Xenopus tropicalis: one gene and its partner. The protein of the gene in region 2 purifies or fractionates together with the protein of the main gene of each other region. This does not show direct contact. Links are inferred from orthologs where the notes say so. Each region holds a gene or a part of one and is shown on either strand. Other genes may lie near its edges.

Region 1 (4,285 bases), on a different chromosome or scaffold from region 2:
CACTTATGAAGCCATACTAGAACATATGTACAAGTTTATTTTTTCAAACAGCTTTTTATTGTTAAAGCAGATGACCTTTAAAACAGCAAATTTACTTACCTGAATGTTAATTTATTTTTATCAAAGTCTGTTTTTACTTCTTTACTGTCCTCCACACAAAATTCAACAAAGACATAGTCTCTTCTATCGTACCACTTTGCAGATGCTGGCTGCCTGCAAGGAAATTGTTCAATAATATTTATATTAACAGAATCTCATATGCATACATATATCTTCCCCCTGTTTGTTGTGGTTTATTTGGATAAAAATACATGCTAATAAAGATGCATGTAACAAAAATGATATAGTATACCTCTGAGAAAGCAGATAGCCAAAAGGACCCAATAGTGAGACAGTGGGCTCATGACACATGCTGGAAAATGCAAGCAGAGAAATGCCCAAACAGCACTAATGAGCCTGTCAGCTTTTGAATTACAACAGCCAATGACCAGTGATAACAGTTGGTTTTTACCAAGAATGCACACCTTTCAGTGTTTTCTGGCAAAAATCCACCTGTCACACTAATTGATTGGACAGAATCTGAGTTCACCTTTAAATTAATTTTTATATGATGTAAACAATGATGGAGAAAATTTACAGTTATAATTTTATATGTTTAATTTGCTTTTTGTTAAGCAGCTCTACAGTTTAGAACTTCAGCAGCTATTTAGTAGCTGGGGTCCACATAGCAACAGTTTAAAATGAGATACCCAAAGATGAGTAGGGCTAAAAAAGAAAGAAGTAATCAAAAGTATCAATAACAAAATTGTAGCCGCACAAAGAAGTGTTTTTGGTCAGTTATCCCTGGAAATTGGCAAATAATTCAATACCAGGACAGACCATAAGATATAAAAAAATTTACATAAAGGTGAACTGCATGTATGACTGGGTATGAGCCTACAAGACATTACACGTAATTAAAGGTAACCTGTTTAATACTTGGCTACCTGTGGGGCAAAGTTTGAACATCTGTTCTGCAATTGTGTTAACAATTTTTAGAAGGTATTAGTATGTGTTTCTGCTGGGTTGTGCTTTCATATTTAATTGTAATCTTGATAGATTGGAAAACCCTACAACTTATTAAAGGAACAGTAACACCAAAAAATGAAAGAGCTTTAAAGTAATAAAAATATAATGCACTGTTGCCCTGCACTGGTAAAACTGCTGTGTTTGCTACAGTAACACTACTATAATTTATATAATAAGCTGCTGTGTAGCCACGGGGGCAGCCATTCAAGCTGGAAAAAAGGAGAAAAGGCACAGGTTACATAACAGATAAGTTCTGTAGAATACAATAGTGTTTTATCTGTTATCTGCTATGTGCCTGTGCCTTTTCTCCTTTGAATGGCTGCCTCCATGGCAGGTTATTTATATAAATTATAGTAGACTTTCTGAAGCAAACACACAACTTTTACCAGTGCAGGGCAGCAGCACATTATATTTTAGTTACTTTTATACACTTTCATTTTTTGGTGTTACTGTTCCTTTAAAATAAAAACTGGGAGCTGTACAAATATTTAAACCCCATCCATCCTGTAATGTCTTCACTATAAAACAACTGGAAGAATCTTGCAGCAGCCTTATTTTAACATACAGCAAATAACTAATATTAACAGCTCCTATTAACAGGCTGAGATAACTGGCCAAGCTAAGAGATCAGGTATCACCAGCCTGAAGCTCTATTGTTTAGATACAGGGAAAATCAACACAATCTTTTCTTTTTTGTTTGAAATGTAAATGTTCCCCAAGCAGCACTAACAGGTGGGCAGGACCCAAGCTACACAGCCTACTATATGTACTAGAACATTCTACAGAAAGCCACTGGCTGTGCCGCTGATGGGAAGTTTATTTAATTGAACTAATTAACAGAACGTGTATGGTGTAACAGCCCCAGCCACTAACGTGCCTGCTGATTGTTGCAGTTGAGCCGCATGATGGGTAGCCATGCCAGGGGCAAGCTTCTGTGTACCTAGTGTGGGCAGATGGCGCGGCTGGTAGAACAGATGCCGAATGCCAGGGAGAAACAAAGGAAGGGGCAGTATGTTGTTTGCAGACATGGCGACACCCATAAGCGTAGGGCAGACATGCCGGTCTTACAGGCCACACGGAGGAGCGATGTCGCACAGGTCGCTCGGCTGCCGTTTCGGGCTGTAATACACGTACTAGCACCGAGCCGACACAGATCCATGCTGCCGACATAAGAGGATTAGCGGATGAAGGCAATGGCGCTCCTCGGAAGCAACAGGCTCAGAAGCCTTACCGCCGAGAGAAGCTTCTGGAGACAGGGAGGCAGGGGGAAGTACAGGGAGGCAGTGGGAGTCAGAGGGAAGCAGGGGGAGGCCCGCCGGCCGGTCGCAGCCAACACGTGTTAGTAATGGAAGGTACAGCCCGACACTCACCGCAGCCTCCCTTACGGGCAGTAACCCGCTCCCTGCCGCCCCTCTAACCCTACTCAAGTACAGGCGAGCCTTCCCGGCTATGGGAATAACCATACCCCCTCCCCATTCCTTGGGCGCCCTGACTGAGCAAACCATTCTCCTGCATGGCAGTGTCGGCAACATGGCCTGTGATGGTCAGGTCCCGCCGTCACAACCGCACACTCCCGCTCTCACATCCCCTGAGCCTCTTGGAACTGCCCCATGGCTGCTACTTACATGTTGCGTCTCTTTTAGCTCGGCGCTCTTTCCCCGCTCTCCTCACGCACTTCCCGCTGCACCCTAAGCTGCAGCTACTACCGCTCCTCCCCGCTCTCTCTCTCCAGGCCTGCCTTACGTCACCGAGCAATAGGGACTGGAATAGGCTGTGCCGCGCTCATTCCGACAATCCGATGGCGCCTACTCTCGCGATAATACGTCCGGCTGGCACTACGTGCGCATCTTTGGCTAAAGCCGCCTACCGGCTGTCTGAGGCACTGCATGGCGGCGCTACCTGCGTCTGGTAATTGCTGGAATGTTCTGCCTTCTAATATATGGCACTATGGTGGAATTTGCTATACCCAAGCAACCTTAATTAAGCAGTGCGTAATAAAAAAAAAATGATTTAAGATACTTAAACTCCTACAGTGTTACAATTACATATCCTAAGTCGTCCAAGTAAGAAAACTATCCGTATGCACTATGGTTATAATGGTAAAATGGTTATGGCATAAGGTAAAAAAGAAAAGTAACAACCATGAGTTATTCAGGGACAGTATATTTATATAGTGTATAGTTAGGGGCTCTCAATTTAGTTCCGATTTAGTTAAACAGTTCCTTGAGAGTTTGGCCAGCTAACTGAGCTTTAAGCGTGGTTCTACATTTATGTGTAAAGTTTCTTCCCTTGGACAGGAGAAATTTGAGACTTATTCTAGAGCCTGCCCTGTAGGTGGCAGTATATGAACTTATTACAGGGAGAGCTCGTTTGTGCTTGTGTCTTCCCTAGGATTTCACCTCACTGAGAGGTGCCTGCAGGATTTAGTTCAGGAATTTTAGCAGTTAGTATTGTTATAGTTGCTCTGGGAGTAAAAAGTAGAATAGGATATGTAGATGGCAGTCTTGCGCCCCACCGAGGAGTGCAAAGGGGTTCGGACCCTGTGCTGAGTTTAACCACTAGTAACCAGGGATTTAGTGTAGGGACCCATAGGGTTAATATGCCCCTATGGCTTTAAGCCCCACCATTTCCTATATCTTCCTGTTATTGGGCAAAGTTCCCGAGTATGCTATGATATTAGCATTTGTGCCTTATTGGTTCATAGGTACACCACTCCCTTTGCACTCTAATATGTTTAGCAAAGGGGTGGATCCTTCTCTTTGGCTACATCCATTGACTCAAGTTCCACTGAGCCTGGGATCAATAGGGCCCCAGTAATCCATCTACCCTAGAGTCTATCTATAACTCTAGTGAAGTCGGAGAACAGGGACCCAGTGAATGAGGATAAGCAAGAATCAGGATAATACCTTTAGAAGCACTGTCTAGGAAAGTGAGATAGTCTAGTTAGAAAGAGCAGTTTCTGGCTCCAACCAGGAGAGATTAGCTGGAAGTACTCTTCCCTACAGGCATTGTTGCTTTAATATAGGACCGTGGTTAAGACACAGGTATAAGGTTATCCCTGATCCATAGTTGGCTGTTTAGGATCCTTGATTGCTACACATCCTGAGGGCATAGATACTTCTCCAGACTACTCTTCACAGGGGTGCTGTGCTGTTTGGCTGTCTTTAACCTGCCCATACTCTGTTGAGTAGGGACAAAACGGTGGACACCATACCTT
Region 2 (3,500 bases):
AAAAAACGCGAGTTTTTCGTAGCCATTACGAAAGTTGCGCAAAATCTTGCGATTTTTCGTAGCGTTAAAACTTGCGCGAAAAGTCGCGATTTTTTCGTAGTGTTAAAACTTGCGCGAAACATCGCGCCTTTTAAGTTTTAACGCTACGGAAAAGGCGCGACTTTTCGCGCAAGTTTTACCGCTATGAAAAAATCGCAAGATTTTGCGCAACTTTCGGAATGGCTACGAAAAACTCGCGTTTTTTCGCGCAAATCGTATTGGTAACGAAAAATAATTTCCGAAAAGTCGTAAAGTCGCCGAAAAAATCGCAAAAAATACGAAAAAGTCACAAAATGTTCGTTTTCCAATCGGAATTTTTCCAATTCGGTTTCGAATTCGTGTCTTAGTAAATCAGCCCCTTAGTCTGCTAAAAATCATTTAAACATGAATGGAAGGAATTTTGTCCTCCTCTGAGGCAAATTAGAGAGGCTTTAGATGGTTTTTTTTTGCCTGCCTCTGGATCAACTAGCAGTCAGGCAGGTTATATACAGGCATTATGGACGTATGTCTTTTTTCATCTTAACTTACTATGTTACTATGTATACCCCATAGGATTGTTTTATCTACTTGTAAAACCCGATGGCATCCCAGGTCACAGGCGCTAAAAATTGCGTGAAGTAGCTGCCAAAGCAGCTATACTGACATATATATTACAGATGCTACACACGGTTTGATTCCATTTTAGTAAGTGGAGGCAACTCAGAGGGACTTTGGATGGGAAATTTCTGCCTTCTTCAGCATCAAATATAAGATAGGTCAAAAGGATAAACTAGGTGTACATGTGTTTTTTTTTTTCCTTACAAAACATTACCTACTAAGTTGCATGCACGCACACACACATCTTCCAGTCACAATCTATACTAACACTTTTGTTTCTTTATTGTAAGTCTCTTGTCTGAGTAATGTAAAAGCAGGACTCTAGTTTATCCAAATACCATCATAGGTGTACTGTCCACTTCATTATTTGCAAGCTATAAATGCTACTAGCAAAACACCCAAAATCACCCCATATTCTAGTGCTCTTTTGGCTTCATAGTTTCTAAAGTGTTCCAATTAAAAAAAAAAAACAAGTAGAAGGGAAGGTAAAAACTAAGTAAAATGTAAATACAGCCATAAGCACTCACAGAAAAGCTATATCAAAAGTAACACAGAATTTTCTTTCTTCTTTTTTGTACACATGTCCTTCAGTATCAAACTTCCTGCTCTCAGAAAAATTCTTCAGGGCAGGGGCACGTCTGCTCAAGTTTGCTCCTCTTTCCCTCTCCACTTTCCTGCTCCCCCTCCCATCAGAATTTGCTCCCCCTCCATACTATGCTGTGTAATCTTAGCTACCCGCAGCTAGAGCTGCAGAGAAGCTACTGAGACTAAGCTAAAATGACAGAGGGAGCTTCTAGGGCTGTTTACTCAGGTATGCTAAAGCTTTCTGCAGAATAAATATAGCGTTCTAGCTTGCACTATTGTTACTAATCTATTGGCAGTAAAATGCCTTTCCTTCTCCATTAATTGTGAACCTTTTACAGCAATTTTGAATCAGCACAGTATTTTGTACACAGTAATGGTTAAACAGTTTGTTATAATTACTGGCTGATTTGTACATGGTGCCATTTTGTAATTAAAGTAAAACAAGGGAGAGAAAGTCAGTGTGTGTGTCAGGAATACAAAAAGAAGGGTGGGGGGAAAGGTCTCCTGCCCTTTTTACCTATCCCTCTTGTAGTCTTGATATTTGACAAACTGAACAGAGGTCAGCATATTAAACTGGTAGATGCCGTAATTACAGAAGAGTGGGAAAACACAATAGTAATAGTGTTATCATTAAATGAAATTAAAAATGTTAAAACAAGAATTACCTTGTTGCAAAAGCTGGCTGAACTTCATGAGGGTTGCGACGGTCAGACCAAAAGAGCAAAAGTCTATCAAATTTTGGTTCAATATCAGCAAACTGGGATTTGCCTTCTGGAAAAATTCGAAGTAAACCTCCATGTGTCTGAAAAAATTTACATTCAGTATTTAATATATAACAACGACCAGCAGGGAATTTTTCTAGAGAGAATTTTCTTTTAGTTATACAATATCACACTATGCAAGACACATCAAAGAAATTTTTTTTGCAATCAGACTAGGTATCCATTTATTTATTGTATAATGCTGTAGAAAGAACTAAGAGGCCATATCTGCAATCCTTTCCCACACGAGTGTACTGTAATTTTAGCAAATAAAGACTCAAATTCATTTTCTTTCACTCAAGGCATAAAGTTCACTAACAACGGAATATTTTTTTTTAAAAAAAACAAAACAAAAAATATAATATATATATATATATATATATATATAATTATTTTTTATTTTTTTTTTTTCAAATATTCAGTCAAAATCGCCAACTTTAGGAAAGCTTTGTGGCTTGATACTTTGAAGTGTACTTTGGAAGAATGTGTACTTTCCCAAAAAATATGGTTTTCTGGGGTGAGTGTACTTTTTTGTAGCTTTATCCTACATAAAATTATGTAAATGTATGAAGTTGAAATGACAAATGATAGATCATATGTATTTTCATTCAAGGGGCCTACATTCCATACAACTGTTCAGGGGCCCCCTAATGTTCATATACAGGATGTTTTATTTGGTTACCTTATGACCTGTAGGAGATAATATGCTATAGACTGGAAACTTTGAAGTGATTTTTCAAAAATTTTAAATTTTTTATAAAAACCCTAACTTTAGCAAAGCATTGCAAGTTTTACGTATTCTGGATTAATCAGAATCTATTATTTCCAAAAATGTATAGTTTTCTAGGTTAAACTTAATGTTGATGGAATTTTTGGCCTTGAAATCTTGGTAGTGTACTGCTGGGAGTTTTTGCCCTAAACAAATGAAAAATCTCCATAAAACTGTAAATATTTGGCATTGGTGCATTCAGGAGACACAGGACTTTTCATGCATAAAATAATTTATATTTCTGGTGTATGTGTTTATATTATGCAAAATATATTTTTTTTATTTTTTAGACATTTAGAAGCCTATATCTTGTTACAGAAGTGGAATTACACAAACATTCATAGCATATTTAGAAAGCTTAGGTTGTCCTGATATATAGTTTTCCTGGAATATAAATTTAAATAAAAGTTCTACAAGTGACAAAATTGGCCGGCAGCGAAAGGGTTGAATTATATCTTCCAGGACACAGACCAGCATGTAGTGATACACAAGGGAGCAGAGATTAAATAACAGACCAGAAAACAAAACAAAAGATCCCAGATCTAGATAATTTATTTTCTAGAATCTGAAAGTAGGGCTCCTAGTCAGAAAGCAAAAAAAAAAAACAAGTTACGGACAAGACAAAACACATAAATAGCCACTTAAAATAATTGATGGGTGATGGCTGAAGTTTGTTTCAATGTCTATATACAAATAAAAGGGACCGTGTGTCCCAATTGCCACATGCAGCCTTTCCAATCATGTCTGTG

The links. Proteins that work in one complex are often made in the same cells at the same time.
Region 1: the proteins of egln1 (region 2) and ptges3 purify together in Homo sapiens (affinity purification with mass spectrometry; 5 studies listed by BioGRID and IntAct, with this or other methods). This does not show direct contact. The link is inferred for Xenopus tropicalis from reciprocal best matches to the Homo sapiens genes EGLN1 and PTGES3.

The regions. Positions count from the first base shown.
Region 1 is NC_030678.2:138,781,377-138,785,661, forward strand, and holds the start of ptges3 (prostaglandin E synthase 3), read right to left. Parts: upstream 2,801-4,285; 5' UTR 2,696-2,800; coding exon 2,694-2,695; intron 214-2,693; coding exon 100-213; intron 1-99. UniProt on the Homo sapiens protein: Cytosolic prostaglandin synthase that catalyzes the oxidoreduction of prostaglandin endoperoxide H2 (PGH2) to prostaglandin E2 (PGE2).
Region 2 is NC_030681.2:57,944,774-57,948,273, reverse strand, and holds part of egln1 (egl nine homolog 1), read right to left. Parts: intron 2,024-3,500; coding exon 1,887-2,023; intron 1-1,886. UniProt on the Homo sapiens protein: Cellular oxygen sensor that catalyzes, under normoxic conditions, the post-translational formation of 4-hydroxyproline in hypoxia-inducible factor (HIF) alpha proteins.